Linked DNA regions of Drosophila melanogaster. The protein of the gene in region 4 binds, or shares a complex with, the protein of the main gene of each other region. Each region holds a gene or a part of one and is shown on either strand. Other genes may lie near its edges. The genes, in order: eIF3b, eIF3c, eIF3l and eIF3d2.

Region 1 (7,145 bases), on a different chromosome or scaffold from region 4:
TTTCCACGCGCAATAGGAGGCCTCCAGGTCGGGCGGATGGACCACACGGAGGCCAAGCTGGAAACGTGTACACTGGAATCGCTGCTGGCGGCGCAACTCCTTCAGCTTCGCCCACTCCTTCAGCAGGCGCTGGAGAAGATTACGCTGGGCAGCGGACTCTGCGTAGTAGCGTTGCCTCAGCTGACGGGTCAGCTTTAATTGACGCTTCACCTCTGCCGTCTGATCCTGGCCAGCTGAGGCGAGCAGCTTGAGTGCCACCTGGCGGGCTATCTCCAGTTCCTCCCTCAGTTTTCGACAGATCCTCTGCTTCCTCTGCTGGCTGTACACATCGAAGAGATCCTCCAGCTGTTGGGCCAGTCGGTGCTCCTCCAAGAGTTGAGGATGCAAGCTGAACCGAAGTTGTTTGAGGCACAATTTCAGGCAACGTCTGGAGGGCAGGCCCTTCAACTCACTTGGAGGCATGGGAGGGAAGAACACGCTCTGAAATCTCCTATGGCACACACTGCGATATAGATGTTTCCCCATCAAGAAACTCGCAGGCTTCTGTCCACTTAGCTGACCAATCAGATCAGAGCCCAATTTTCCGGACTTGCTTTTGGACTGCTCCTGGTAGCGGTTCAGCATACGGATCTGGGAGTCCTTCAACTCACTCAAATCGCTCAAATGCAACTGAAAGTGCAGGGTATTACTCGGTCGGTAAAGTAAGCTCTCATCATAGTAGTGGCGCTGCTTGAATAGCTGACCCCAGGCCAGAGGAGGATCGTGCAGATCGATATGTATAAATGTCTGGGAGGGCGAATCCGTTGGTTCCTCAGCCAGTTCCCCACCCGAATCTTCGTCACTCTCCTGGCAATCTTCAACAGCGAAATCGTTCTCCTGCTGCATCTCACCCTCAAATCCATGAAAGAACTGCAGGCTAAGTGCCTCCATGTCGTGTTCTGGACCAGAGATTCTGCCTTCCGTTGCCCTTATCAACTTTTGCACCTCCTGCTCCCTTTTCCGATACCCTCTGGTGGTATGGGTCTTGCGTTTCTTCTTTGCAGTCTTCCTGGATAGAGCGGCTTCCATGTTACATAGGTTATTACAAACGGAAAATGCCAGGCAAACAATATTCCGCCTGCTTTGACCTTTCAACTGGTTGCCATGGGCAACTGACTTGACCACTGTTACACACCTGCTCACCACCAGCTATCTATCGTCTATCGCCTTGAATGAAACATCAAAAAAACATACCCCAAACGTATTTTGTTTTCGTTTTCTTTTTGCTGTTTACATACAAATACATGGCAAATCTACTATTAGGCATACTGGAAGGAGGAGGGGTGTGCGCAAGAAAGGTCATTTAATTAGATGTTATGTTCGCAATTGCTGATTGAGTTGAAGTTTACTTTTGGGCTTATAATTCGTATGTTCGTATGTTGTATGTATAGGCAAAGGTTCCGCTTAGAGTTGTTTGCAAGCAGACGCGTGCTACTGTATTGGATAATGGATTAGGGCCCTGGCATCAACCAGGGCGTAGACGCGTCCCGGACACGAAATGTGAGGCGACAGGATCGCTTCGAAGTAGGCAGGGGACGACAGCGTTGGAGTGGCGTTGAGGGGGTCGTCTACTCCAGCAGAGTGACTTCTTCCTTGACTAAAAATTCAACAATTTCTTCATCCACTTCGTCAGTTTCCAGGTTGTCTGTGTCCACATCTGTTGCGTAAGGATAATATACATATAGAAATCGGCAAATTTTAAACAATTTGTTTCTTGAGAATACTTACGCCCTCGCAGCATGATGCGACGACTCTTCTGCTCCGCCCACTCGGCAATACGCTTGTTGCGGTACTCCATAAAGGTCTCGCGCAGCTGCGAGCGCTTCTCGAGCAGCTCCTTGGAGGCACGGGTAAGGCGCAGGCGATCCTTTTGTTCGAAGGCAGCGTAGTACTTCTTCAAGTTCTTCTTGATCTCCTTCTGCTTCTCCTCGCTAAGCAGGGTGGGAGGACGCGGGCGCCACAAGAACTGCACAAAGTTCTTAAGAATGGTACGCTTGATGATGCGGCCCTGGAACGTGTACATGTTGAAGCCGGTATCCTCTTTCACCTTCCATGACGAGACACCAGTCACAACGTAGCGTCCAGTGGGATCCCACTCGACCTCGGAAGCGCGGAAATGATCGGGCGATGCCGTGATGATGTAATCGTTGGTGGAGTCCACAAACTCGAAGGTACCCATGGTGAGGTTGGCCATTACGATAAACTGACCGCGTGGCGACCAGAACAGATGTGTGCATGACTTCTTTTCTAGACGCTTCACCAAGCTGGGCTTAACGCCCTTGTTCACCTCGTAGAAGCTCACATTCGACGAGTTGGTCTCGCCGTGAATGATGGAGAACTTGTTGCCGACGGGCTCCCAGGCAAAGGCCAAAATAAGCTCACGAATCTCCACAGAGTCGACGGGAATCTCCTTCTCGCGCATGTGGAAGATCTCAAAGTTGTAGAACATGCCCAGAAACTTGACGTCCAGGTCCTTCTTATCCTTCTTCAACTTTGAGTAACGATCTACCTTAACGCACAGATAGTCGCCGGACTTTTGCCAATGTAACTTGCAATCGGCCACATGGAAAAGGTTCTTGTTACGGATCTCACGCTTCTTGGGGATCTCCATCAGGGTAACGCGGGCGGGTATTTGGTTCTGCTCCTCCACCCAGTAGGCAATCACGTTGTCTGTGGGGGACCAAGAGAAGCCACGAATGCCGGGAATCTTAATGGACTTCAGGTCCAGAAGATAGAAAGAGGGTGTCTCGTAGATGTGGATCGAATTCTCGCCCATGCGGGCCACAAACTTGTCGTCGTGCGACCAGCGGAACATAGAAAGAACCGACATGCCATCGGCAACAAACGAACGTTTCTCGGCTCCAGTGCGAATGTCCCAGATGATGATCTTTTGGCCCGTGGGTGTCGGTCCGTAAGTCACTAGGTAATTCTCGCAGGGCGAAAACTCAACGAATTGGGTACCAGGATGGGGAAACTTCTGAATCTTCTGGAAGCTACTGCCACCCCAGATGGCCACACCGGGTTTGTGGAAGGTGACTACATAAGTACCCAGGGGCGACCACTTGACGAAGGTGTCGGTGAAGCGTTCGCGAGTCTCCAGCTCAAAGGGTTCGGGCAATACGTTTTGCCAGAAACCAACCTGCACGCAGTTGGGAGCGGTCTCCGCTGCCACGCAGTACTGGTCATAAGTGTCCGGGTCATTGATGAAGTTGTATAGATCGCTCTGCACTTTGAAGGTCTGCACGGTTGGCGGCTCCCACTTCTCGGGGATGTTTTCGTACCTGCCAAGATTAAATTTTATTAATCTCATTGCTTGATGCGGATGCAAGGAGAACTTACTTTTGGAAATCGGTGAAGAGATTGACGGCAAAGGTGTGGTTTTTGTCTAGGCGATGATTGTTGAGCTTCTTGACGGCTTCCTCCGCCTGTCTGGCCTGCTTGTACTCCATGAAGGCGTAGCCCTTGGTCTTGCCCTCCTCGTCGACGGGATAGACCACATTGACGATTTCTCCGTAGTTCGAAAACAGCTTGTTGATGACCAACTTCAGCTTCTCCAGGCGCACCGGCTCCACCTTTGGGATATTGTCCACTACCACCACACTCTCGACGCCATCGGCCTCCGAGGGGCGCTGGGCCAACATGTCGCCCAGCAGATCTGAAAGTGCATCACGAATATATTTAATTAGATATGCAAATGCAAACTTTCGCACACCGCACACGGATTGAGGTTAGATCGCCGCGTGTGATGCGCTGGCAGTCGGTGATTTTCACCTTCATCACTAATGTTGTCCACGAACCCGGGCGGATCGTCAAAGTTCGGCTCCTCCTGGTAATCACTGTCGTTCGCATCCGTACCGGAGTGCTCCTCGCTTTTCTTCTTGGCCATATTCAGCGATCTATTTGCAATTTTCCGTCATTAAACACACAAGCACAAAGTGAAAAAGGAAGAGCGAGATGCCGCATTTGCCAGTCAAGGCGAAACACTGTTTTGTGTGAATGGTTAGTGTTGCCAACTACTCACTGCGTTGATAACGCGGCGGGGTAACTTTTATTAATATTTATAAATACATATGTACATGCATATATTTTAATTTACTGTTTCTTAGATTTATTTGTATTTATACTGCATATGTTTGCTTGACAGCAATGACAATAATATCTGGATCCTTCTCTTATGGATCCTTAACAACAGAATCTTAGGTGCTTATCTGGTGATAATGTGTTAAAACGGCTAAATATTATCATTTTGTATTTCATGTACATACAATTATTTAATATTAGTCAATATGTATTAAGCAAAGTATAACCTATAACAACTAGTTTAATCGTTCTTTAATAATACATACATTTTTTCCGCTTGCAACTCTAGCGATGGAAGTTTTGAAGCATGTTCAACCGATTTTTTAGAATTAGGCATCAATCGATTTGTTGCCGATAAGCCAAAACCGATTGCATCGAGTAATCATCGGCTGGGGTTCCATCTCTCACATGAAAATTTGTAAGATTTTAGAGCAGATCGGTGTCCGTGATTTTCTCAATTTAAGCCCAATTTGTAGTATTAAAGCTGTTGAAAAATGCAGCGGGGACGAGCGCGAACCGTGTGAAATGCATGCGAAAGTCGTCGGTGCAGCAAATCAGTGCGAAAAACATCCCAAATGTGCGTAGGCCCCACACTCACTCTCGCACACACACCCGCGCGCACATACACAGCTTTTTCGGTCACCACTCGTTCGCTGTGGGTGCGAGCAGTACCACACTAGCAGTGTCGCACACCAGCACTGCCAGTGCAGCGGGAGCGACAGAGAGGCAAACAGCGGGCGGCGGACAACAACAGTGCGAGGCGAAGGAAAATGTTTTCATTTACTTAAGTCGGCGGTTCCCCAAAGAAAATTGGAAACTTGCTGGCTTAAAACGGATTGGGAAAACATTAATTATACCATGGACGGGCGGTTGAACACTGCGATGGGTTGAAAAGTGCGTAAATGGCTTGTCCAGACGAGCAAATCGCAACAGCTGATGCAGCAGCATCTCGAGAAAAGCGAACAGGCAACTGTAAAGTGTTCTCTGTTATTGTCGCACTGCAGCCCCGCCCCCGCCCACCACCCACCGTCGCGCTCCGTGAATGATTCACATTTTCTTTCGGCTGCCCGCCTGCCTTTTAAGCTTTTTCCCTGCCCCGCCCGCCGAAAAAAATTCGCTGACAATGCGTGTGCGCAATTAGTTATTTTTCTCGATTTCCAAGTGGTTTGACAAAGTGCCAATCGTGTTTTTGTATTTTCTTGTGTTTAGGCTCCAAGTGAAAATCACCTAAGCTGAGGAAAACTCCAAGCCACACTCACACACACACGCACTCGCTCGCACGCAGAAAAGAGACAAGTGAAAAAGGAAAAGCGGTGTGTTGTGGTCAAACATAGAGTGCGAAAAGTGCAAAAAGTGCGGAAAGTGAAGTGGCGGGCGTCGGAGAGCCGGAGTCCGTCGCAGGAAAATCCGTCAGCATGGATGTCGAAACACAGGAAATACGACAGGTAAGCGCAGCAAGAGGGCTTCCCGTGTACAAAGTTACACATAAAATAAACTCATATTTGAGCTAAAAACAAAAAGCACTCATTAACATTCCAACGGAGGCGAAGCGGGCCTAAACACCTACTCTCTTGGCCAAAATGGTGCGCTGAGGTAATGCCGCTCGGCAACTTAGCGCTTAGTATGCGACCGACACCTACTTACCAATCGACTGGTTTCGATGGCCAATGCAAACAACTACAACCGGTAGTTGTGTGGGGTGTGCTTGTGCTGATCGGAATATAATGCCAGCAGCCAACATCCATTCATAAAACTGCAGCTGAAAAATCGAAGCCGGAAAATACGCTTTACCCCTGCAAGATTAGGCATTTGTTATCGTTTTTCTCGCTTTGAGCTGGCCGCTGTTGCATGACCTAATCGCTAAATATGAAAAGAAAAAACAAATAATAAAAAAAAAAAAAAACGGCTTACGCATGCGAATGCCAGGCGCAAAGGGAGAAACGCTAACACTCTGCTCGGCGGTTTGGGGCCTTGCGTGTACACCGACTTTTCCCCCAGACAACTCCCTAGAAAGTCGCGCTGGAGTCTCGTTCTTGGCCAGCAAAAACAAACAGCTAGGAACCATAACGCGAACCGAACCTATGGCTAAACCCATTCAAACATTCAAACATCCAAGCGCTGACTCAAGCGGAGCACTCTCTTCTTGCCCGCTTTCCTTCATCAGCACTCTTTGTTATATTTAGCCGCAGATATCGCTGCCCATTCTCTGGAATGCCAAAAACAAGCAACGTTCGGCTAGATAATGAAATCATAAAGTCGCGCCAATTTCAATTTGTGACATTTGAAAACCACCAGCAACTGAAACTTTATTACAAACATGTGATGGAAATGTTTGCGGCACAGAGAAAAAACATCTCTAAACTGAACAACAATAAATCATCATTATATTCATTTTTAGTTTTATTTTCTTAAATATAACAATTATCTCAGAAAACACTAGTTTATTAGCTTTCTAATTATTACTCCCTCAGCAACCTAATTCTCATTAAATTAGATTGTTTTTTTTTCGTGTGTATTTGGATGCTTGAATACAAATATGCTATCCATCCATCCATCCATCGTTCGTTTATTCATAGTGGGCGTCCAAAGCAGCACTCATTTATTGTTTTTCTTCGAATTGCCTGCACGGTCTTTTGAAATTTGAGTTTTAGACATTTTTCCCCCGCGAGTCAATGCAAAGTGCAGCCAGAGTTTTTCCGTTTCGTTGGCCATTCAAATTATGTTGCGGACAGTTTCTTGCTTTTGGTGGAAAGCGCTTCGCTGGGCAAACAGGTTTTCCCTCCACCTGTTGACCAATTCGCATAGCTGGTCGGTCTACGACCTACGCCAATATTGTTTTCCCCGCCACTGCACTTTTCCCCCCTTATTCAGCTTGAATTATTTATGGCATATGGTTACAAGCATTTAATCCAAAAACCGCCCAAGAGCAAATTCTTTTCAACTGGCTTTGGGTATACAAAAGAATCGAACCACTTTGGTGAGATTCTCTGACATAGTTATTGATGACTTCATGCAACGATTTTGTA
Region 2 (7,937 bases), on a different chromosome or scaffold from region 4:
GATGAACGGATCGTGTCCAGGAGCACGCCCCATTTAAATATATATATATATAGTACGCCAAAATATAGACAATTTTAGCGATTAGGTGCGAAGGAAGACTATATTTTCCAAGAGCTGCAAATTTGTTTTGCCTCACAAGTTTTCACGATCGTGAGGCCATGCTAATGGCACCTTAAAGCCACGTTAACGTATCCAGCTGCCAAAAGCAAATAAATGGCTACCACAAGCGATGCACTTTGGGATTTCGCCTGCATTTTTATTTCCCACCCAGTCATTTTTGTGCATTCTCAAGTGCTCCTGTCCATGGCTTTAGCTTGTTTTGGGGTTTTTTCCCTGGTTTTTCATTAGCTTGGGAGTTTCCGTCTTGTGGAAACTCAGTGTGCAGCATGAAAAGGGTGTTGTCCAAATCCCCGAATAAAACATGAGCTCAAGATTCTGATTACGACTGTAACCTTTATGTCTGCTCCTCCTAAATTGAAATGAAAAACACGCAGAATTTATAGTGCATGGAAAGAAACTATTCAATTTATTCGCAAAAGAGTTTTGTAGTAAGCGGACATTAATTTTACAATATGCTCCATTATATTAAAATATCCATAGGAATTAAAATATTTTCAAATTGAGAGAAGGCAAATTATTAAAAATATAATATTATCGAATAAGAAATACTTTATTTCAGGAAAATATTTATCTAAATATAAAGCCATTTTTTCTGTGTAATGGATGATGACGAATTGAATGAAAAAGAAGTGCATCGGTTTTATCAATAAAAACTAAATTAAAATGGAGGCAGGAACGTGGGAGTAGTTATTAGGAATTATTCATTGAAATTGCGTAACTCAACATTTGTATTCAATCAACAGGAAATCTATGCTCGAGCAAGGGCAGAAATCGCATTTAAATGGAAATTTCTATAGTCTGTTTCGAGCATCGGTTTTGAAAATATCCAACCCATATATAGGATTTATGGGGCCGCACAAGCCGTAACAATCCAACGGAAAACGGAAGCAAAATAAACAGCACAAAAGCGTAACGGAAACAGAAACAGAACCCCAGGAAAAAGGGGCCCGTTTTTGCCGATTTGGATGTATGTAAATGCATATAAGCTTTTGCACCCACACACAATTTACGATTGCAGCTGCAGTTTCGGAGGAGTCAAGGAGCAGAAACCCGTACTATTTCACGGACCCTTTACGGATTCAAATGTCGATAGGCGGACAGGGAATTTATGGAGCTCTCATCAATTTCTCCGGATAATAAAGCCGCCATATGCACTCTCGAATGTCAGCTGTCGAAAAGCCAGGAAAAGGGCGATTACGCGAGATTAACCGATCAATTTTTAATTTGCCATTTCCGAGACCGCAGATACACACATCTCCATCAATCTGCAGTTATTATTTATTATGCTTACATTTGCGTTAAAGTGTTTTCCGTGTTACTCGTGTTTTCAAGCGATTCCGGGCGTCGCATCTCATTTAGGATGCCACTTAAACAGGATGTGGATGGGCAGAGCACATGCCACGCACACACCGCACACTTGGGCCAAATTTTGTTTACACCGCCAAGACACAACACAACACACAAGAATTCAAATGAATGAATTTATTGAATTCTTTTTAGCGGGCCGCAAAAGCACTTGAGACTCTATCGCCGGATATTGGCATCAACGCTGCCAAATCGCCGAGTACATCCGAAAAATTGAGTTTTTGAACTTGAACTGTCCGTCGGCGCGGAGGAGAGAACGCATGCGACTTGTTGGCGCGCGCGAAAACGTTTGGCTTGGTTTTGCTTTGGCCTTTCCTTGGCTGCCTGGCTGCATGTTGGCCGGACCAATTGATCCGGAGATTGGTTGGGGCGCCAGAATGGGAACCCCACTCTGTTTGGCTAAGAAATGCCGGCACTTTTGCACGCAAGCGCAGCAACATGTTGCTGGCAACTTCAAATGTTGCAGGTCACCAATGCAACATCTATGTAAGCATTGATCACTGATTATCTTTTTAACATTATTTTGAATAGTTACTTAAATGGCCACTATTTCATTTTGATGATATATTTGCTATGTAATTTAATGGATTTATTTTAAATGTACCGCCCAACCGGTTACTTGATATCGATATATCTCGAGAAGTGCCGGCATTTCGTTATCGATGAGTACGCGCTCGCATTCAGTCAAAACAGTGACTCCCTTAGAGATGGGATAGATTTCGGTAACTGTTGGTCCGCCACATAAAAAAACAAATGTTCTGTTACATTTAAAAAAATGTTTAAAACGCTCTCCTTACGAATATTAGTAGAGAGTAATCATTTCTCAACATGACAGTTATTATTAATACATAAATCAAACGCCCCGCCCCGTGACTTTGAGCAATATATATCGCCAACGAAAACACATGCAACCATCGCCCATCTCTAGTCTCTCTTTTTGATGTCTTGTGCATTCGACATCGTTTAGTTTTGCTGTAAAATAGTAAGTTTATTGTGAAATATCAAACGCCAGGTGGTAGTAAACACTTAAAAAGCAAGGCAGTGAACCGATTTCTGCCAGGGCTTCGAATGAAACAACCAAATGTCATGCGGAAATATTTGGCATACGTTTTTGCAAAACGCCATGTTGGCCGCTCAAACATAACCTCAACAAAGCAAAATCTTATGTGGCCCGAAACTAATAAATTGTGATTCCAGGCGCAGACAAACGGCCGCGTAGAAAGTCAACAAAGATGTCGCGTTTCTTTGCCAACGGGTCCGAATCGGAGTCCGAGTCCAGCGAGGAGGAGATCCAAGCGACCAACTTCAACAAAGCCAGCGCCTTCGTAAGTGCCGCCCAGATGTGAAACTCATCCATTACTAATCTATTCCTTTCCGTGGAAAACAGCAATTCAGCGACGATGAGGAGGAGGTCAAGCGCGTGGTCCGCTCCACGAAGGAGAAGCGTTACGAGAACCTCACCAGCATCATCAAAACCATTCGCAACCACAAGAAAATCAAGGATATTCCCAATACCCTGAGCAGCTTCGAGGATCTGACGCGCGCCTACCAGAAGGCACTGCCGGTCATCTCAAAGGAGGAGAACGGCATTACGCCGCGATTTTACATTCGCTGCCTGGCCGAGCTGGAGGACTTCATCAACGAGGTGTGGGAGGATCGCGAGGGCAGGAAAAACCTTTCCAAGAACAACTCCAAGTCGCTGGGCACTTTGCGCCAGAAGGTACGCAAGTACATCAAGGACTTCGAGGACGATCTGTCGCGTTTCCGTGAAGCACCCGACCAGGAGAGCGAGGCCGAGGACGAGGTGGTTGCCCTGGAGAGCGACGGCGGCGATGCTGGTGATGACAGCGACGCCGGAGTGAAGCCTACAGAAGCGGTTCCGAAAGCTGTGAAGTCCGCGCCGGCAAAGGCTGCGCCCGCCGATGATGACGATTCCGATGACTCCATTGATTGGGACTCGGACTCTGAATCGGAGACCGAGTCCTCTGACGATGAGAACCAGTATCAGAACATGCGCGAGCGATTCTTGAAGCGTACTACCGAAAAGGAGGAAAAGGATGATGACAAGAGGAAGGACAAGCGTAAGGAGCAGAAGACCAAGATCCGCAAGCGCGCCGAGGACGATGAAGATGGCGAGTGGGAGACTGTGGTCAAGGGTCATGTAGTAGAGAAGCCCAAGATGTTCGAAAAGGACGCAGAGATCGATGTTCCCCTAGTGCTGGCCAAGCTGTTGGAAATTATGTCGGCTCGCGGCAAGAAGCGCACCGATCGCCGTCTGCAGATCGATCTGCTTTTCGAGTTGAGGGACATCTCTGATCAGCACAACCTGGGAACCGCCGTCTCCGTGAAGATTCATTTTAACATCATCTCGGCTATCTACGATTACAACCAGAAGATTTCCGAGCCCATGAAGCTAGAACACTGGGCCCTGCTTCTGGAGGTAATGCAGAGCATGATGAAGCTCCTGCTGGCCAACGCCGACATTATTATGAGCGAGAGCGTGGCCGAGGAGCATGAGGAGTACGCTACGTCACCGTTTTATGTGAGGGGATGCCCACTGGCTGCCGTGGAGCGCCTGGATGACGAATTTGTTAAGCTGCTGAAGGAATGCGATCCACACTCCAACGACTACGTGTCCCGGCTGAAGGACGAGGTGAACGTGGTTAAGACTATTGAACTGGTGCTGCAGTATTTCGAGCGCTCTGGCACCAACAACGAGCGCTGTCGCATCTACCTGCGCAAGATCGAACATCTCTACTATAAGTTCGATCCGGAGGTGCTGAAGAAGAAGCGCGGTGAGCTGCCAGCCACTACCTCCACCTCCGTAGACGTGATGGATAAGCTGTGCAAATTCATCTACGCTAAGGACGATACGGATCGTATCCGTACGAGGGCCATCCTGGCGCACATCTACCATCATGCTATGCACGACAACTGGTTCCAGGCCCGTGATTTGGTGCTGATGTCTCATCTGCAGGACAACATTGATGCCGCCGATCCCGCCACCCGCATCCTGTACAACCGTATGATGGCCAATCTGGGTCTGTGTGCCTTCCGCCAGGGCAACGTCAAGGATGCGCATCACTGTCTAGTGGACTTGATGGTCACCGGCAAGCCCAAGGAGCTGCTCGCTCAAGGACTGCTGCCTCAGCGCCAGCACGAGCGATCTGCCGAGCAGGAGAAAATCGAGAAGCAACGCCAGATGCCATTCCATATGCACATCAACCTTGAGTTGCTTGAATGTGTCTACCTGGTGTCCGCTATGCTGCTCGAAATTCCTTACATTGCCGCCCATGAATTCGACGCCCGCCGCCGCATGATCAGTAAGACCTTCTACCAGCAGTTGCGTTCCTCGGAGCGTCAATCACTGGTGGGTCCACCAGAGTCGATGCGTGAGCATGTCGTGGCTGCTGCCAAGGCTATGCGTTGCGGCAACTGGCAGGCGTGTGCCAACTTCATTGTCAACAAGAAGATGAACACGAAAGTGTGGGACCTCTTCTACGAGTCTGATCGCGTGCGCGAGATGCTGACCAAGTTCATTAAGGAAGAATCGCTGCGCACCTACCTGTTCACCTACTCGAACGTCTACACCTCGATCAGCATTCCTTCGCTGGCGCAGATGTACGAGCTGCCCGTGCCGAAAGTGCACTCCATCATCAGTAAGATGATCATCAACGAGGAGCTCATGGCCAGCCTGGACGATCCATCCGAAACCGTGGGTATGCATCGTTCGGAGCCATCGCGTCTTCAGGCCCTGGCCATGCAATTCGTGGACAAGGTCACAAATCTGGTGGACGTCAACGAAAAGGTGTTCGACATGAAGCAGGGCAACTTCTTCCAGCGCGGCAACATGGGCAATCGCGGTGACCGTGGCTACAACCGCAACCAGAACAACCAGGGCGGCAATTGGCTCGGCCAGCGGCGGGATCGCAACAACCGGAACCGTAACCAGCGCGGGCACCACAAGAACAACCAAGATAGGCAGCAGCAGCAACAGCAACAAGTCCAAACGATCGACGAGGAGTAGACGTTGCTGCAACCTCAGCCCATCCTCTCTAGCGAGCGTTAGCTTAAACATCAGCAAAACTTAAACAGATCAAATTTGTAGCACTTCGACTATTAAAATGGAATGGCCATGGACAACACGTTGGGTCACATGCTTTCAGGCCTCCGATTCGGTTTCAGGCTGGGTCGGAGGTCTGTTTTTATCATGTCCATTGCATATTGTTGTAGCCAAGTCACACGAACATTTGTTTCAGCGCTCATTACGTTAAATGATAATACTAATAACTACATTTTGTATGAACCCAAAACCGAAAAAGAAACCTTAAAAACAAGAGACACAAAATCAGTGACTTTTTTTTGCAAATTTTTACCAACAACTAATATTAAATTTATATGTACTAACAAGAGTATTATTTTAGTCGGCTTAACACTTTGGCTTTTGAAAATTTAAGAAAACTAAGAATAACATTTGAATTTCGATGACAAGCTTCGTTTTCTGCAAAACTTCGGATATCGATATGCTCTTTTTTTCTCACATCTCTGAAACCTTTTCTTCAGTAGTACCGTTCGACGTACCTTTGTCACATTTTTTCGGAACTCTATAATAGGCATTATAAATTAAAACCAAAATATACCTAGTAAACAAATGAGCAGCGTTGGCGAGGATTGCAACGAGCTGAAGCAGCAGTACGATGCCTGTTTCAACAGCTGGTTTTCTGAACGCTTCCTAAAAGGTCAAATGGATGACTCAGCGTGTGCTCCGATTTTCCGGGTTTATCAGGAATGCGTCAAGGTGAGCTAATCGGCTCCCTAACCACGTATGGTTTGACCAACCTGTAATCCCCAGCGCGCTATTAAGGAGAAGAAGATCGATTTGCAAGAGATAGATCCGATCTTCGAAACCGGGCTTGAGGAGAATAATGCGAATAGATCTGATGCAAAACAGCAGCAGGCGGGCGAAAGCTGACCCCGTAAGCTGCTCCATATAGCCATCCTAATCCTCGCCAGCGTTAATTGGTGGCTGCACGCGCTACAAAATACTTGTAAAGAGAAACATTTCGTAGTACTTTGACTGTTAATAGTATCATCATGAAACATGGACAACTGATTTCGTTATAACCAGAGTGCCTTTATTAAAATAAATTAGATGTTCTTAAAGAATTGAAAATTCAAATTTCGATAGCACGTTCAGTTTCAACGAAACGTACATCGATATGCTGTGTCCCACATCTCTGATAGCTTATCTGTAGTATGACCCTCACACAAACCATTCTCACATTTTTTTCGACTTATTATTCAATAGAGAAATTATAACTGAAACTCAAAGAGCTTCACTCCACAAATGAACAGCATTGGCGAGGATTGCAATGAGCTAAAGAAGCAGTACGACGCCTGCTTCAACAGCTGGTTCTCGGAAGGCTTCCTTAAGGGCCAGACGGATGACTCGGGCTGCGCGCCGATTTTCCGGGTCTATCAGGAGTGCGTCAAGGTAAGCCCAGGTTTCAAGTTTCATCATCCAGCTGGTTGACCCAATCTTTGACCTTTAGCGCGCCATGAGGGAGCAAAAGATTGAGCTGCGGGAGGTCGGATCTGAGTACTGCACCGGCTCGGAGTACGACAATGCGAGTAGTTCCGGCGGAAAGACGCAACCCAAGACAAAAAGTTGACCCGTTACGCAGCTCCAGCATCCTGGCAACGGCATTGAATCCACAGTGGGCCAGAACCCGGGACACAATGACCTCACCGGTAATCAGCGCCGACACCAGAGTGGAGGAACAGCCTAGGTCTACCAAGTACCAGAAGCAGCTTTGGTTTAGTTCCATGACTCGTATCCTTATGTAAATTATTTAGTGAATGTTTTATAAATAAGTTCAAGTAGCGAACTATAAAAAATGTTATATTCAGACAGAATCCGTCTTTGAGTTTCTTAGAAGTATATACAAGCCTATGATTAGGTAATGGTCGCAGTTCTTATTATTGGTCGTATAAAAAAAAGCTTTTTAACGAAATATATAAAATCCATCTTAATGACAAAGTATGACATTACATGGCCTCCACGCTGATAATCCTGCTTATTGTGAAACAATAACACATATAGGTCGTACATTAATGGTAAATCCCATCGCCCAATAAACAGATCGGAGTACTTCCCCAAGAGAAAGGTCACTATTTCAACGATAAGGTGAGGCAATCTCACCTATAAAGAGGAGCATTAAAAGCTGCAGCACCACAATCTAAAGTTAACTTGCCGTTAATCAAGATGCAACTGCTGCCAATCCTCGTGCTCCTCGCTCTCCTCATCTGCGCCGCCTGCAAGAACCACGAGGACTGGGGAGGATACCGACCAAGTGACTACGATCCCAGGCCATATTTCCGGCAGTTCTAAATGATCACGAAACTCAACCCACAGGAAAATCTTTACGAAAAATCGATGCAACCATAGAAAG
Region 3 (7,282 bases), on a different chromosome or scaffold from region 4:
GCCGCCCCCTAACCAAGTTCTTTGTTTTTGGTATCAAGTTGCGCTACTAACCCCATTTCAAACTGCATTATCCAGCCTATGTGGGCAGCTTACCGTCTCCTCCTGTACATACATAACTTGCATTTTAAAACTATCCAATGTGGTTTGTTTGCTTGGTTTGTTGTGGATCCTATTTGTTAACTACTTTTCGCTAGCTGTGTTGTTGCCAATGTTTGGTTACCCGATGTGTTTTGTGATCGTATGTGTTTGCCCTAGCCCTTATAGCCTTACTTCATAGTCTATAGTCTAATCGCCCTAGCTTAGAGTTTCCTAATCGTCTCTGTTCTGTTCTGTTCAGTAATCGTCTGCCAATTATATCGAAACCGTAAGACTGTTGATTATACAATCAGATGCCAATGTACTTAACAAATGAAATTTCTCTGATTCATGTCTATTCACTTACTCAAACTCAATCCGAACTAAACTTGTTGCCTCAGGCCGTCAAAATACTTAACTGAAAGCATTACTTGTAAGATTACGTTTTTGGAATACAAGTCCGCGCCAGGGAAACCTACGAGATTTATAAATGCCTTCCTCTCGCACCCCAAGGTCCCGCCATCAATCCGATCGTCGATAACTCGGATGAGCCCCAACCCAGTCTCTCCGATCTGCACGACTTCGAGCCGAAGCTAGAGTTTGATGATACCGAGCTGCTGGCCCCATCTCCGCTTGAAAGTAAATTGAATATTTAAAGAATCTACAAAATCATAGTCAAACTAATTCTTCGATTTTTCCCAGAAGATGTTATGGTCGGTGATTTCGTTCTGGCCGAAGGTAAGTGGCGGAATCTACTTCTCCTGGCCAATGAATAACGTTTCGCATTACGCCTAGATCCAGAACTTGAGCCCGAGGAAGATGTAAATCCGCTGGAGGACGACTTCGAGGACCAACTCAGGGAGCAGTCTGAAAACTTTCAGACTCCCAGAAACAAATGCGATTTCCTGGGAACCGATAAGCAGGGTCGCCACATCTTTGGCATTTATGCATCCCGCTTTCCCGAAAAATCCCAACTGGAAGGATTTGTGCGGTAGGATTCATATTCGAGTACATTTTTTGTTCAATCATTAATCTATTTCCATTTGTCTATCAGGGAAATCATCAAGGAGATCGAACCTTTTGTGGAGAACGACTACATTTTGGTTTACTTCCATCAAGGCCTCAAGGAGGACAACAAACCATCCGCACAGTTCCTGTGGAATTCGTACAAGGAGCTCGATCGCAACTTCCGCAAGAATCTGAAGACGTTGTATGTGGTTCATCCGACGTGGTTCATACGGGTCATTTGGAACTTCTTTAGCCCGTTCATTAGCGACAAGTTCCGCAAGAAGCTAGTCTACATCTCCAGCTTGGACGAGTTGCGCCAGGCGCTCGGCCTGAACAAGCTGAAGTTGCCGGACAACATCTGCGACCTGGACGACAAACTGAACCCCAGCCGGAAGCCATCGACACCGCCGCCCAGCAGCAATATAAATGCATCCCGGCAGCAGCAGCACAAAATGGCGACGACGCATCAATTTGGTGTGCCCCTGAAATTCATTGTGATGAACAGTCCGTGCTTAAACTCCATTCCGCCAATTGTGCGCAAGTGCGTGGACTCGCTGTCCATAACGGGCGTGATCGATACGGAGGGCATATTCCGTCGATCGGGCAATCACTCGGAGATCATGGCGCTCAAGGAGCGCGTCAACCGCGGCGAGGATGTGGATCTGAAGAGCGTTAATGTCCACGTGATAGCCGGCCTGCTGAAGAGTTTCCTGCGCGATCTCGCCGAGCCGCTGCTCACCTTCGAGCTGTACGAGGATGTGACCGGTTTTCTAGACTGGCCCAAGGAAGAGCGTTCGAGGAACGTGACGCAACTGATACGCGAAAAACTGCCAGAGGAGAACTATGAACTGTTCAAGTACATTGTTGAGTTCCTGGTCAGGGTGATGGACTGCGAGGATCTGAACAAGATGACCTCCTCCAACCTGGCCATCGTGTTCGGTCCGAATTTCCTGTGGTCGCGCAGCACCAGTACCTCCCTGGAGGAGATCGCTCCCATCAATGCTTTCGTCGACTTTGTGCTGCAGAATCACAAGGACATCTACTTGATCGACGTCAATCAGCGCACAGTGTCCGTGGACTAACAACTGGCCCGGCCACCAACAAGTCCGTAATTGTAAATTGTTTGATTTTAATGTTAGTCCTAAGTGAACCAATGGTTAGCTAAAGAGAGAGCACACAAAAACGCAACAGAAACTAGAGAACAGAAGGCAATGTCGTGTATAAAGTGTACTGTAATCCTAAGTTGAATTTTAAACTGTGTGTATGTGTGTGGAACTGCTTGTAGCCCCAACTCCACGCCAACTGTCCAACCCCCCCGAAAATCACAATTATTTACCCCCAACAAGCGCTTAATACGATTGATTTACCAAAGAAATTTGCTCGTGTTCGCTATGCGACGAACAGGAGAGAAATTTGATATGAGATGTTATTATTATATACTACGTATTAATTCAACGCACATTCCCCCATAACCGAAAACGAATCTTGGTTGCGTTGCTGAAGGCACATGCCGAGCACAAGTGGAGTTGTGGCGAACTCAAAAATCGTACTGTGTAGTCTTGAATTTCCTTATAGTCATACAAACAATTTTTATAAAATAACGGTATTGTTAAAAATAAAGCAAGTGTTAAAACAACTTGGATTCTTATTAAAAATTAGATAATTATTTTAAATTATTTAAATACTCAAGACACATTTTGAGGACCAAACTTGCGCAAGATCGCAAGCGATTTTTATTGATATCGAAACAAATCGGTCCAGTATGGAATATTAAATTTATCATTAAGGGTCACAAGGAGTCGGCTTAAATGTTGATGTTCTTCAATTTGCGATTCAGATCGTTGAACTTAAGAATTTTACGCACAAAGAAGTCGCCATACCGATGTGAAACCTTGGTGTCGGCTATGTGGATCATGTCGTCGTCGATGTAGAAGTCCAACTAGAATATTAATGTATATTATTATATTTGCCATCAGAATTTGTCTATATTAATCTCACCTCGGAGCCAGACTTGAATGTGCCTTCCAGGCCGCTGGGTCCCTTGCTCCACACTAGGTTGCGCATTTTGTGCTTGAAGCAAAGCAGGCGAATCAGCAGCTTCGACACGTCATCCTCGCTGGCGTTGGGATCGATGAAAGATGCCAGTTTGGTCAGCGGCAGGGTGGTGTACAGCTTTAGATACGAGCGCGTTGTGGGCAGATCCTTCTGTTGGCGCACCTCATCCATGAAAACCTGCAACTGGTGTTCCATGGGGTCCTTGACGTAGTCGTCCATGGGTGCGTCTACAGCTGGCGGGCAGGGGCTCACGAAACGTGGGCAGGCGAAGACAAAGAAGGACTTGAAGACCTCCAGATCACCGCACTGCATCTTAAACATGGCGTCGTGGTAGTTCTTTTCCCTGAGCACCTGCTGGATGGACTCGTCGATGCACTGGGGATGGAGTACCAGGCAGATGGCCAAAAGATGGTACATCTGCTCGGCCTGCTTGTTGATTTGATCGTTTTGGTATGAACGCGTGCTGTACAGCTGCTTGGTACGCTGAATGTACAGGAGGATATCAGAAAAGGTGCGGATGGCATCAGCGTAGCGGCGCATCATCATGTAGGCGAAGCCCACGTAGTACGACGTCGAGATTTGGCAGGCGGGGATGTGCGAATAGGCGGACTTCTTGTGGATCTCAATGGGCTCCAGCACCTTGATGGCCTGGTAGTAGTCACCCAGCAGCGAATGAACGCGCAGCAGTCCGACAAGGGAGAAGTATCCCAGCATCTTGTAGAAGGACAGTTTGCCGAAGTCACCGGCCACGGTTTGGGGATCAACACCTTGAGAGATGGCCTCCAGCTGCTTCTTGATGTTCGAGATGTCCACAAGGGAATGCAGAACGTTGAGGATGCAGAGAATGCTCCACTCGTTGCTGTGGTTCACGCACAGCTGCTGGATCTCATCCTGCGATTTCTCCGTAAGGCGGGCGCTGCAAAAATGGAAGGTTAATCGAGTTCCACAGGCTGCGGAAACAGCTACATACCGATACTGCGCGAAGTTCTGGAACTGATACACGAACTCATCCACCAACTCCCACAGCCAGATGTCGGGCAGCTCCAGCATCACTGGGTTCTGGGCCGAGATGATCAGGTTGAAGAAGTCGCAGTAGTTGAAGAACGAGTTGATCCTCTGCTCCAACTTGGGACCACCGGGGATGCGGGCGTGGATGTGGCGATAGTACAACTCCTTGTATAAGATCAGGAAGACCTTGTCGTTGTCTACAATAGCAGCCACCTCCTGCTCCTCGGGCCAAGCAGTCTTGTCGAAGTGGTGGTCGCTGATCTGCGGGAACGTGTTCTCGTACATGTTTTGGATGTCGTACAAGTTGCCCTCTTTGATCGCCTGGCAGAAGTTTATGAGGAAGTACTTGACGTTGTCCGGCATCCGGGCGGCGTAGTAGTTCCTCTCGTACTCCATGTCCAGTTGCGGGTCTCCGGTATGAGCGTAGTCATCGTAGTAATCCTGTAATATGTAAAAAACCCAATGACTTTTTGGAAGCAGAATTGCAGGAAATACTGATCTACGACTCTCTGCATAAATGAGCTATTAAATAGAGTTAATCGCTTAAAGTGGATCGATTTTATAAATTAACAGCTTGCCTAGACTATTGAAGACTTTCGACTTTGTAAATAGGAATTCGAGAGACTATGCTACAACTGTTCCGAGTTTAATCCCGACCATTTAGCTAAGCGAGCTGTAGCTAACAAAACGAGCGCATTCCTACGATTACGAAGTGGATGAACCTTAGAGGGGTACTTCTTTCCACGGCATCTCTAAGGAGTAAGCTAGAATATATTCATGTGTTCTTTAAAGGTGTGTACACACCATCTAAAATTGCACGCAAATCAAAAATGTAGAAGGTATTATGACTTATTAATAATGTACACCGATACCAATAATATACCACATGGCGCCGGGGTGTCCCCCGGACTACAGGATTCGTTTCCAAATAGCAAAGGAACGTGTCAAAGGAGTGGCCCACGGATTATCAGTGCTTAATGACCTATGATGATCTAAACACCAACTATGCCAAGTCGTAAAACGGCTTTAAAATCATCCCAGTGAGTTTTGTATTTGTGCGAGGGCAACAAAAGATGGGTTATGTTGTCGGCGGAGTCCGGGGATTGGTTTCCCGAGAATGAATCATTCCTCGCTGGCTGCACTCACCGAGTTGGTTGCGTATTCGTCTCCACCGTACATTGTCGCTGTTTTATCCTCTCCGGGTTACACACAAAACGAAAAAACCGATCAAATGCTTAGGAAATTGACAACACGCCAACAAATTTTTGGCGAAAAGAGGGATAAACAGTGTGACCAACTATCGATAATGATACTACTACGACTATCGATGTTTTACGCCCCTATCGATTTGGTATTCGAAATAATTTTTTGTAAAATATGTATTTTATTTCAAATTTCTGGATAGATAAGAAAACTAGATTTTTAAAAAATATTTTAGAGGGGATTTGACTTATTTGCCATTACATTTGTATACTTTGCTTATATCATTCATTTTGCAATGATATTACATGGCTTTAAAACTATGCAAAAAAATTTCTATCACGAATTAATATAAATGTTAACGGAAAGCTATTATTAGTGACCAAATTTAATTTCATAGTAGCAGTTGAAATAATTTGTAAATACTTCATATACTTAATCACACGATAGCTTAGCTCACGCGACAAGCACCCAGTTGGTGACTCCCTCGGTATCTTGCCACGTTTGAGTCACGGTCACACTGGCAGCGAGACATTCTGTTCGTGTGTCATCCGCGTTGCGATAATTATTTTCTTAATTCAAACGAAACTCTTCCGAAGTGGGCGTGATCTGCTGGAGCCGTACACCCAGTGGATAAATTACATAAATTCAAAATCGATTTAAAGCGGAGCGTAAAGTGCAGTCCAACGTTTTTAACACCGCGGACGCGTTGCCACAAATCATCAGCTTTTCACGGTGGTTTTTCCAGCGGAAAAGTGCATTTTGGTGTTAAACTTCTTCGGAAATCGAATATAGATGTGTTTATAAATCTACCAAGCGATAGTGTTTAATTAACAGCCTCCAAGATGAGGCCGCCCAGGAGCAATACGAAAGCAGCATTTTCCTCGCTTCAGTTTGGATTGTTATGCCTCCTATTGCTGGTCAATAATGGCATTAAATCGGTGCAAGCAGGTAAAAACCAGTGATACCCATTGACTAACCCAGGAATTCAGATCCTTTCGGCTCGATTTTCCCAGCAATATGTGACATAAAACGTCGATTGTTTGTAAGCCAACTTTTTGGGCGTGTTCCCCAAAGCTGAAGACTCGCTCTTCCATTTTCCTTTGGCCCGTTGTTCGCTTTTTAACTCGCTCTTAGCGATCGCGAGAGTTTTGGTGAGAACGGGAGAGCGATCAAACGGTTGCTTACGAATAGCGGTGGCAAAACAAAAATGCCGCTTAACAACGCCCGTTTTTACTCGTTCGTTTTGAGCAAAGGCATTGGGGTTTTAGATTCTTGATTTCCGGACTTTTATGAAGCTTCCCGGGGGAGCAATTCGAAAATTTTGCCGGTTGCATCCCCAGTTGTGCTTGCCTTCTTTTCCGGCTTTTCAAATGCGCATGCGGCAAATAAGAAGCATCTGCTGATTGATGATGCTGTGTGAAACAGGTGATTTTATCATTATCCTTCCATATGTCAACAGACTTAAGCGCTTTTCCCCACAAATTTCCACATATCTTGAAAAATAAACAATCTATCGATGATATGCAAACATTTTTATGACTAAAAATAAACAATGCCGCGCAATTAATTTGCCTTGAAGCGTCGAAAGCAGACAGCCGACATATATCCTCCCAGACTTTGGTCGATTTCCATAATTTATTTCGGTTCTTATTGCCTCGAAAATAGCATCATTCGCACTTCGAGTTTCCCCCAGATGGACGGAAATGGCCTTTCAGACCTCGTCATATTTGTTTCATTTAGAACATTAGCCAAATTCTATGTATTTCGTTTTCTTTCTAATCACCATTGGGCAATTATGTAGCAAAAAGTAGTTCAAACTGGCTATATATGTATGTACATATGTTCCTGTGTTATTTACCAGAAGATTGTCATGCGTGTTTCCTCGGTTTCCTTTCGAGCTTATCAGGTTGATTTGTACCACTCCACCCAAGAC
Region 4 (6,858 bases):
TCGAATTTGTAATCTGCCGAAATATATTCAGGAGTGCAAAAGTGCACATGTGCCCAACTTGGGTGACAGCGCCAACAAAGAATCCAATTACGTTGGCTACTGGGATATTTTTGACAAGTATTCAATGAATTTCAGTCCAGATTTGTGACCCTATCCAGGCAGACTTTCAGCAGACAGACTTTTGCCAGCCATTCGTTTGCAGGCAGGAAACGAATTAGAAATGTGTAAAACAGAAGTTGCTCCACAGGCGCAGTCGGTCAGGAGCTAAGGCTCCGAGTGAGACGTGGAAAATATTCGTTTTTTCTTTGAGCTGAGATGAGAATCGGCAACTGAACCTTGCCTGGCCGGAAGAGGAAAATGATTTCCGGCCTGGACCGGCTGCGGCGATAATTTTGCGGCATCTGAGAACTTTTTATATGCAATCATTGGGCGGATTGTCAGTTAACTCGCAGCTGGGATTGCAACTGCAACCAATTCATTTCATCGAATTATGTGAATATTCCCGTGCTCCAGTTACTACCCCTCATTGCATCTACATAATTTTAGCCATTATTCTCGCTCTCGCCAACAAAAAAGTTTTAGCTCAAAACGCGGCAAAAAAAGAATAAGTTTGGCAAAATGTTTGCACAAAGTTTTGCGTTGCGAAACGAGCTGAAGAAGTGGAAAAAATTATCACTATTGTTGCAGATTTGTTGGGTGACGCTGAAATTTGTATTCGGTGCTTTTGCTTTTGTTTTTTGCAGAGGTGTTGGCGGCATTGATAACATTTCTTATTCTGTGGCTAACAACAGTGTGCTCTCGTCTGTGTCTAGTCGACCGTCTAAAATGCAGAAGGGGTAATTTAAATATATTATATTGGGGTAACTTGAGTGAGAAAGTTTTACGAATTTTCATCTGGAAAAGAGTAGCAGGGCTATCAGGTTCGTCCTGTAAAAAGAAGGGAATATTAAAGAATCTCCGATTTGATATATAAGTAATATTTTGATTTTACGATATATTTGATTGCTTTGGGTCTCCCTTTTCACTTCAATCCATACCTATATTAATAGCCGTGGGCTTCATCCTCGATTAACTGACTTCTCGTGGCAAACTTTTACCCAGACAAATGATATTTAAATGAGCTGCATTTGAAAAGTTAACGGTGAATGGAGCCCAAAGCAAATGTCACAAAATTGACAGGATCTTTCGAGAAGGAAAGACAAGAAAAGAAAAACTGGCACAAGTCGGCAAATTAAATATGCCAAAAGGCGGAGGCGAAATCCGAGCTGGCCAAAAGAACACAAAACTTTTGGCTTACAAACATTCCTAAACTCTTCAGTCCGCCCCCCGAAATGCGTGACCCCTGGCACCCGGAGCCCCCTGATCCTGGTGAACCCAACCAAAGTCCAAAGATGGCAAATCCGTTGCTTAAACGGCTAGAGGGCCTGGGGCCAAATGCTTTGGTGGCAACTTAAAGTCGCATTTGGTTTCCTAATGCGGCTCAGACGGCTTCCGAGGCTCCAGCTACCATAACCCCATTTCAGCGAAAAAAGCGAGTGAGGCAAATTGAAATGAAATTGAATTTAGTTGGAGGTCGCAGGAGCTGAAAAAGTTGACGCGGGTGTGGCAGTTTTATTTACAACTATTCCTCATGTGATGTGATGCTGGGAAAATGCAAAAGAGTTTAATTTGCAATTTGTCGCCCTCATTCAACGCTTAACTTTTCACTCGGGCGGTGTTTGTGGTTGCATATGCAAATGCCTTGGCCATCTAAACCCATACCTCAGCCCACTAACCCACACCCTGTGTTCTGGGCTCTCCGGTCTGTGTTCTCCGTTACCCCGGAATGGCCCGCAGCCCTGCATATGCGATAAAATGTACAAAGTTTTGCGTTAAGGCCCCACTTGAGTTGGGCTAGGAGTTGTTGCCGCTGGCAAGTGCCCTGGCCAACCCGGCCTGCCAGTTTGTTAAACGCCTTTCAACGGCGTGGTTAGCCAAGCGCAGACCTTGAAATGCCACGCCAGTCCTGGCCAGAAGCCGAAGCTACAACTGCAGCTACAGCTAAGGCTAAAGCTGGTAGCTAAAGCCGGTAGTTGCCAGCTGGTAGTCGGTAGTCTGTACTCCGTAGTTGGTGGTACATGGTAGCTGAAGCCACTCGAGCAGCTAACCAGCCGGAGCCAACTTTTCTGCGGCAAACGCTTTAAAAAACCAGTCCGCAATAGTCATTTCGTAAGTTGGTCCTGCAGGCACACACACAGGCACACATGTTGATTTAGCAAACAAAATGTTTTAATTGAATAACACTTTGGTGTTTCACTGCTGCTTACTGGCAAGATCAAGTGCCTTTCCGGCCAACTGTGCGTATACTTGATGTGCACACATATACATATGTATGTGCTGCATTGTGAATCTGTGCACTGCCACATAATGGACCGACTTTATCAATCAAATTTGCCGCAGGCAGGGAATTAAAATTAATCGGTTTCAATTTTCATTTGCGTAAATTCCCTAAATATTTTCACACACTTATTTCACACCCAGGCATCATCATTTGCTCATCCTGTCTGGGGAAGAAAGGGAGTGCAAGCCTATCCATGCAAATTGAATAGGTCTAAATTCAATTTGGCGCTGAACAAAAAGAAATTGGCGGACGGAGAAACAAAAACAAAAATGCGCAAAACATTTTGGTAATTTAGTTGAGCGATTTGCATTTCCGTTGGGGAATAATTTCTGCACTTTTGTGCTCACTGACTGCCCAAATTGAATTGCCAAATAACAAAAAAGGCAGGATGCATATGAAATTCGAGCACATATATGAATTTAATTAAATGCTGTTGAATACGAAAACATTTTGCTTAAATTGTCGCACGCCAAGCACCACAGCAGCATCAGAATTTGCATTGATTGATGCCGTGTTCGGTGATTTATTGATCCTGAGGTTTGTCACCCAAACAGCCCTTCACCCATTTCAGCCCCAGTTCCACTCCCCCGCAATTATTGTGATTGTCAGTCGGTAATGGCGGGGGATGTTCTGCACAATGCATATTTATTTAGCCGGGTTTCATTTTGTATTTCTTGGAACCGCAGTGATTGATGTGGCCATGTTATCCTCAAAATAACTGTGACTGCACCCGGTCACCCGGTCCGTTGTTCACTGACATGTCAAGTGATGGCTCCGTTCATATGTTGTGTTTGGTCAAAAACTCAATTTAAATTGCATTTGTGTTCACTGCGCATCTGTCAGCATGTGTCGGCTTGTCTCGTCCGTCGACGGATCCCCTTGTTCGGAGAACTATTAGTTGAATAAATTCGTGAGGGCGTTAGTTATCGTTGGAGTTACTCAAGGGATCGCTGGACTCCTCCTCCTCATCGCCGTCGGAGTCGAAGGCGTTTTCCGGAACGTCATACAGACGGATCATCGGCTTGTTGGGATCCTTCATGATCAGATACTTTCCATCCGGTTGCCTCATCACAAGGTCAATTAGGCAACGCAATACTCCCCAGGCATTGTCCATGTTCAGGTTGATTTGGGTGGCGAACTCCTGCGGCTTGAATTGCTGTGTGCCAAGGATCACGTGACGCAGGTGATCACGCGGATTCATCCTGGACACATAGCCTAACTTCAGTTGATCGGAACCAGCCAGCACAGCCTCAACGGTCCATCGAGCTAGCTTACAAGCATTGTTGCGCAACTCGGAGGCCAAGACTGCACCGCGCTGGGTGTCCAACTTCTGGCGCCACTCCACACTGTTGGTCACCTTGGAGTCCCATTCATTCAGCGCCTTGATCGAGAGGAACTGCACGTCCCCATTGGGTCCTTGGATAACCCCATTGTGCTTGCAGCGAGCAATCAGCACCACATCGTTGCCCAGATCCCACTGACGGTAGCGATAGCCAATGGAGGCAAGATCCACGCCTGGCTCCTCGAACGGATTGGGCTCCTCAAACATGAAACGTGGCTCTTGGTCGCCAATGCGAAGAACCTTTTAAAAATAAATAACATAAGATTTAAAAACGTACAATAACAAATAACATAAATTGAAACCTACTGTAAACCTACCTGCTGGCTAAAGTTGTGATTAATTAGAGTGGCCTCCATTGCCAAGCTATGTGCCGAATTGATGGAACCCTCCTCATCCATCGGAGGTTCTACTGAAGTCTCGTTGACAGTCAGCAAATCAAATTGATCATTATATCTCTTATCTAAGAACACCTTAGTGCCCAATTTCTCGACTACCACATCCCAAGAGTAATTGGAGCGTGTGCAGCACATTATGGTGGACAAGATTTCGTCGGTGGCAAAGACATTGCCCATGGTCCTCGAAAGACGACGAATAACCGGATCATCCGTGGTCGTCACGGTGTGCACAACACGATCCATCTTTTGCAATGGTTTTTCATTGCGTAAGTTGACTCGATCGTATAACTTATCATAAAATTCCAGCCATCCGCAGGTGGCAATGTCCTTACCATCTTTAATATTGGGAAGTGCCAGCTTGAGAAGGCGTGGAAAATCAATCTCCTCGATCGAAACCCAATCCGATTGCACCATCACTGAGCTCTCGCGGATTCTGGTGGGAGCATTGCGACCGAATCTGCGACCCATATTCTGCGTGTTGCGTGTATTGCGACCCTTTCCGTACTTGGTGGTACTGGCAGTTGCGCCTCCAGCCGTGGATCCCCCGAGACTTGCTATATTCGGAGTGCCACGCCCCGTGCGACCCCTGCTCCTCACATTGTTGCGCATATTGGGTCTATAGCGTCCCCGCTGATAGGGCTTGGTGGCCTTCGATCCAGTGGTGTCCACCAAATGGAAGGTGGAGTCATCGTCCTCGTAGAAGTATGCGTACTGACTGTTGTTGCCAAAGGTCGAGGCGTATTTACTGGGGAACTTCTTCTCGGGCACCATCGCAGTCCAGTCGCAGATCTTGCCCAGGCGATCACTTTTGCAGAACGGCTGGTAGGGCACATCCAATTCGGGTACCTCGCAAGGACCCCAGCCGTGCTCGTTGTACTCCACATAGGGCTTGATAAAGGGTGCGTAGTTGGACATAATCACGCCGAAAGATGTTTAAATAACCAAGAGCAAGTATTTACATTTATGTGATCCGGTTTTGTCGAGGTACAAATTACACTGAGCTGATTTCGTATGGCCGGCTTGACAGCTTGGGAAAATTTTCCAAGCCCTACGTTTGGATAATGTTATAATATGAAAAAGGCGGTTTTATCCATTAAGGAAATAACCGAATATCCAATCTTTAAATAATTTTTGATAGACAACTAAAAAGATTTCTTCAAAAGCCTATAGTAAGTAGATTGAAGCCTATTGTGAGAAATCAAAAGATACCAATTCCTCACAATAAAAGCTCAGTCTTATTTGTATTTCTAGTCACACCGAAACCCTATAAACTACACAAAGTGAGAAGTAAGACGTTTGGAGAATGAATCTTAGGAGGACGCCCTGCCCCCAATTAAACACCACCGCAACCACAATGAAGAAATGTGTAATTGCCTGTTCGTCTTTCGGTTCTCCGTCAACGTCGTGCTGCTCTCATTGGCCACGATTATTCTCATCCTCCGCATGGTGAGCTGATCCAGGATGGGCGCGGGGATCCCCTTCCAGCCGACAAATTCTTGTTTCTTATTATCTTTTATAAAAAACCCTCACTAAGCGCACAAATAAATGTTTGTTGAGCTGTGGAAATGGTACAGGAAGCGGGGTACTGTGACGGGATTATCACTTGACGACGCATCTAAGCTCACATCGACATGACTCCATTCATATGACTCCAACTCCAGCACCATTGTTCTGACCCAAGTATCAGGAAAGCAAAGGAACAACAGCGGAGTGCACTACAATGGGACGAGTGTCCTGTGTGCTGGATCTGGTCAACTTGGCTCAGTCCTCACTGTGTTCCGGTTCGGTTTCCTTATTCTTGGCTGGGAGCACCTTACAACAATCTCGTTAAGCGTAAAGGCCAAATTATAGTAAAACTAACAGAAGGCAAAAGGTAATCACATAAAAAGCTTGTTAGATAACAACGTGTGAGGCGGCGAAAAAGGAAGCGGACATCCTGCACTCCGGCTCATACCCAAAAAGCAACATGTCGAGCGTGTGAATGTGCCTGAATGTGTGGAAAATGATATGGGTGCGAGCGGGATGACAGTGGGAGTGCGGTGCCTCCGCCCCTCTTCCAGCACCCAGATCCTGAGCTAAGCTTTGTCAAGCGACAGGGTGTCATGTTGATGTGTATGTCACTGGCAGCTGCTGCTTACATGGCCCGGCTCCAGATTCCCTCGCACTTCTCTGTTGATACACTGCGAGAATATGAAGAGATAATGTCAAATGTAAGAATAGAAGACCAAGAATGCATACCAAGAATATAATAATGGGTTCTGTGGAGCAATAACAATGGGAACTTATTTTGACTGAAATAATTCCTATTTTACCATTGAATTGATTTCAGTGTAGCCATAAGCCGTGGATGAGTGTGCGTCTGAGTGAGTGTATGTGTGTGTGGATTATAATTGCCATGCGGCTGTCAGTGACTGCAGGCGGCGCCTAACTGCACACAGCTGCAGATGTGCGGCTCGTGTTGCAATATCATTTTTAATGCAAACCGCATGCCACATTATGCAGCTGCATTGCCACGTCACCGCTGCGGTTTCTCCATCCCCATCCGCCTTCCGCTTTCCAACCTCCGGATTTACCCTCTCATCTCCAGCTCATCTGCAATCGCTCCTGCCGCTGAAGCTTTTCTTCTGCCACTGCCGGTCTTGTAGGAAAAAGCGGTAGCGGCTTGGTGAAAGGAACACAGCCAAGAATAATGCCCTGGCACATAAGTAAGTACTTACCCAGCGAACAAAAGCAACAAGAAC

The links.
Region 1: eIF3d2 (region 4) and eIF3b share a complex: the UniProt entries of both Drosophila melanogaster proteins name them as parts of the eukaryotic translation initiation factor 3 (eIF-3) complex.
Region 2: eIF3d2 (region 4) and eIF3c share a complex: the UniProt entries of both Drosophila melanogaster proteins name them as parts of the eukaryotic translation initiation factor 3 (eIF-3) complex.
Region 3: eIF3d2 (region 4) and eIF3l share a complex: the UniProt entries of both Drosophila melanogaster proteins name them as parts of the eukaryotic translation initiation factor 3 (eIF-3) complex.

What each region holds. Positions count from the first base shown.
Region 1 is NT_033778.4:17,533,245-17,540,389, reverse strand, and holds eIF3b (eukaryotic translation initiation factor 3 subunit b), read right to left. Parts: upstream 4,178-7,145; 5' UTR 4,061-4,177; intron 4,058-4,060; exon of another isoform or gene 3,936-4,057; 5' UTR 3,926-3,935; coding exon 3,811-3,925; intron 3,695-3,810; coding exon 3,379-3,694; intron 3,321-3,378; coding exon 1,768-3,320; intron 1,697-1,767; coding exon 1,608-1,696; 3' UTR 1,327-1,607; downstream 1-1,326. Other genes in the region: Cc2d2a (Coiled-coil and C2 domain containing 2A), read right to left, coding at 1-1,068; patronin, read left to right, coding at 5,535-5,564. UniProt on the Drosophila melanogaster protein: RNA-binding component of the eukaryotic translation initiation factor 3 (eIF-3) complex, which is involved in protein synthesis of a specialized repertoire of mRNAs and, together with other initiation factors, stimulates binding of mRNA and methionyl-tRNAi to the 40S ribosome.
Region 2 is NT_033778.4:17,663,350-17,671,286, forward strand, and holds eIF3c (eukaryotic translation initiation factor 3 subunit c), read left to right. Parts: upstream 1-2,328; 5' UTR 2,329-2,467; intron 2,468-2,682; 5' UTR 2,683-2,717; coding exon 2,718-2,810; intron 2,811-2,872; coding exon 2,873-5,512; 3' UTR 5,513-5,636; exon of another isoform or gene 5,637-5,682; 3' UTR 5,683-5,926; downstream 5,927-7,937. Other genes in the region: CG30108 (uncharacterized protein), read left to right, coding at 6,137-6,283, 6,338-6,457; CG30109 (uncharacterized protein), read left to right, coding at 6,833-6,979, 7,038-7,157; IBIN (induced by infection), read left to right, coding at 7,751-7,876. UniProt on the Drosophila melanogaster protein: Component of the eukaryotic translation initiation factor 3 (eIF-3) complex, which is involved in protein synthesis of a specialized repertoire of mRNAs and, together with other initiation factors, stimulates binding of mRNA and methionyl-tRNAi to the 40S ribosome.
Region 3 is NT_037436.4:12,140,664-12,147,945, forward strand, and holds eIF3l (eukaryotic translation initiation factor 3 subunit l), read right to left. Parts: upstream 5,435-7,282; 5' UTR 5,326-5,434; coding exon 5,293-5,325; intron 4,588-5,292; coding exon 4,109-4,587; intron 4,055-4,108; coding exon 3,082-4,054; intron 3,023-3,081; coding exon 2,888-3,022; 3' UTR 2,783-2,887; downstream 1-2,782. Other genes in the region: RhoGAP68F (Rho GTPase activating protein at 68F), read left to right, coding at 338-364, 589-714, 778-813, 871-1,066, 1,130-2,165; Nrx-IV (neurexin IV), read left to right, coding at 6,192-6,297. UniProt on the Drosophila melanogaster protein: Component of the eukaryotic translation initiation factor 3 (eIF-3) complex, which is involved in protein synthesis of a specialized repertoire of mRNAs and, together with other initiation factors, stimulates binding of mRNA and methionyl-tRNAi to the 40S ribosome.
Region 4 is NT_033777.3:12,189,921-12,196,778, forward strand, and holds eIF3d2 (eukaryotic translation initiation factor 3 subunit d2), read right to left. Parts: upstream 5,092-6,858; 5' UTR 5,033-5,091; coding exon 4,040-5,032; intron 3,963-4,039; coding exon 3,300-3,962; 3' UTR 2,783-3,299; downstream 1-2,782. Other genes in the region: CG43450 (uncharacterized protein), read left to right, coding at 5,421-5,567. UniProt on the Drosophila melanogaster protein: mRNA cap-binding component of the eukaryotic translation initiation factor 3 (eIF-3) complex, which is involved in protein synthesis of a specialized repertoire of mRNAs and, together with other initiation factors, stimulates binding of mRNA and methionyl-tRNAi to the 40S ribosome.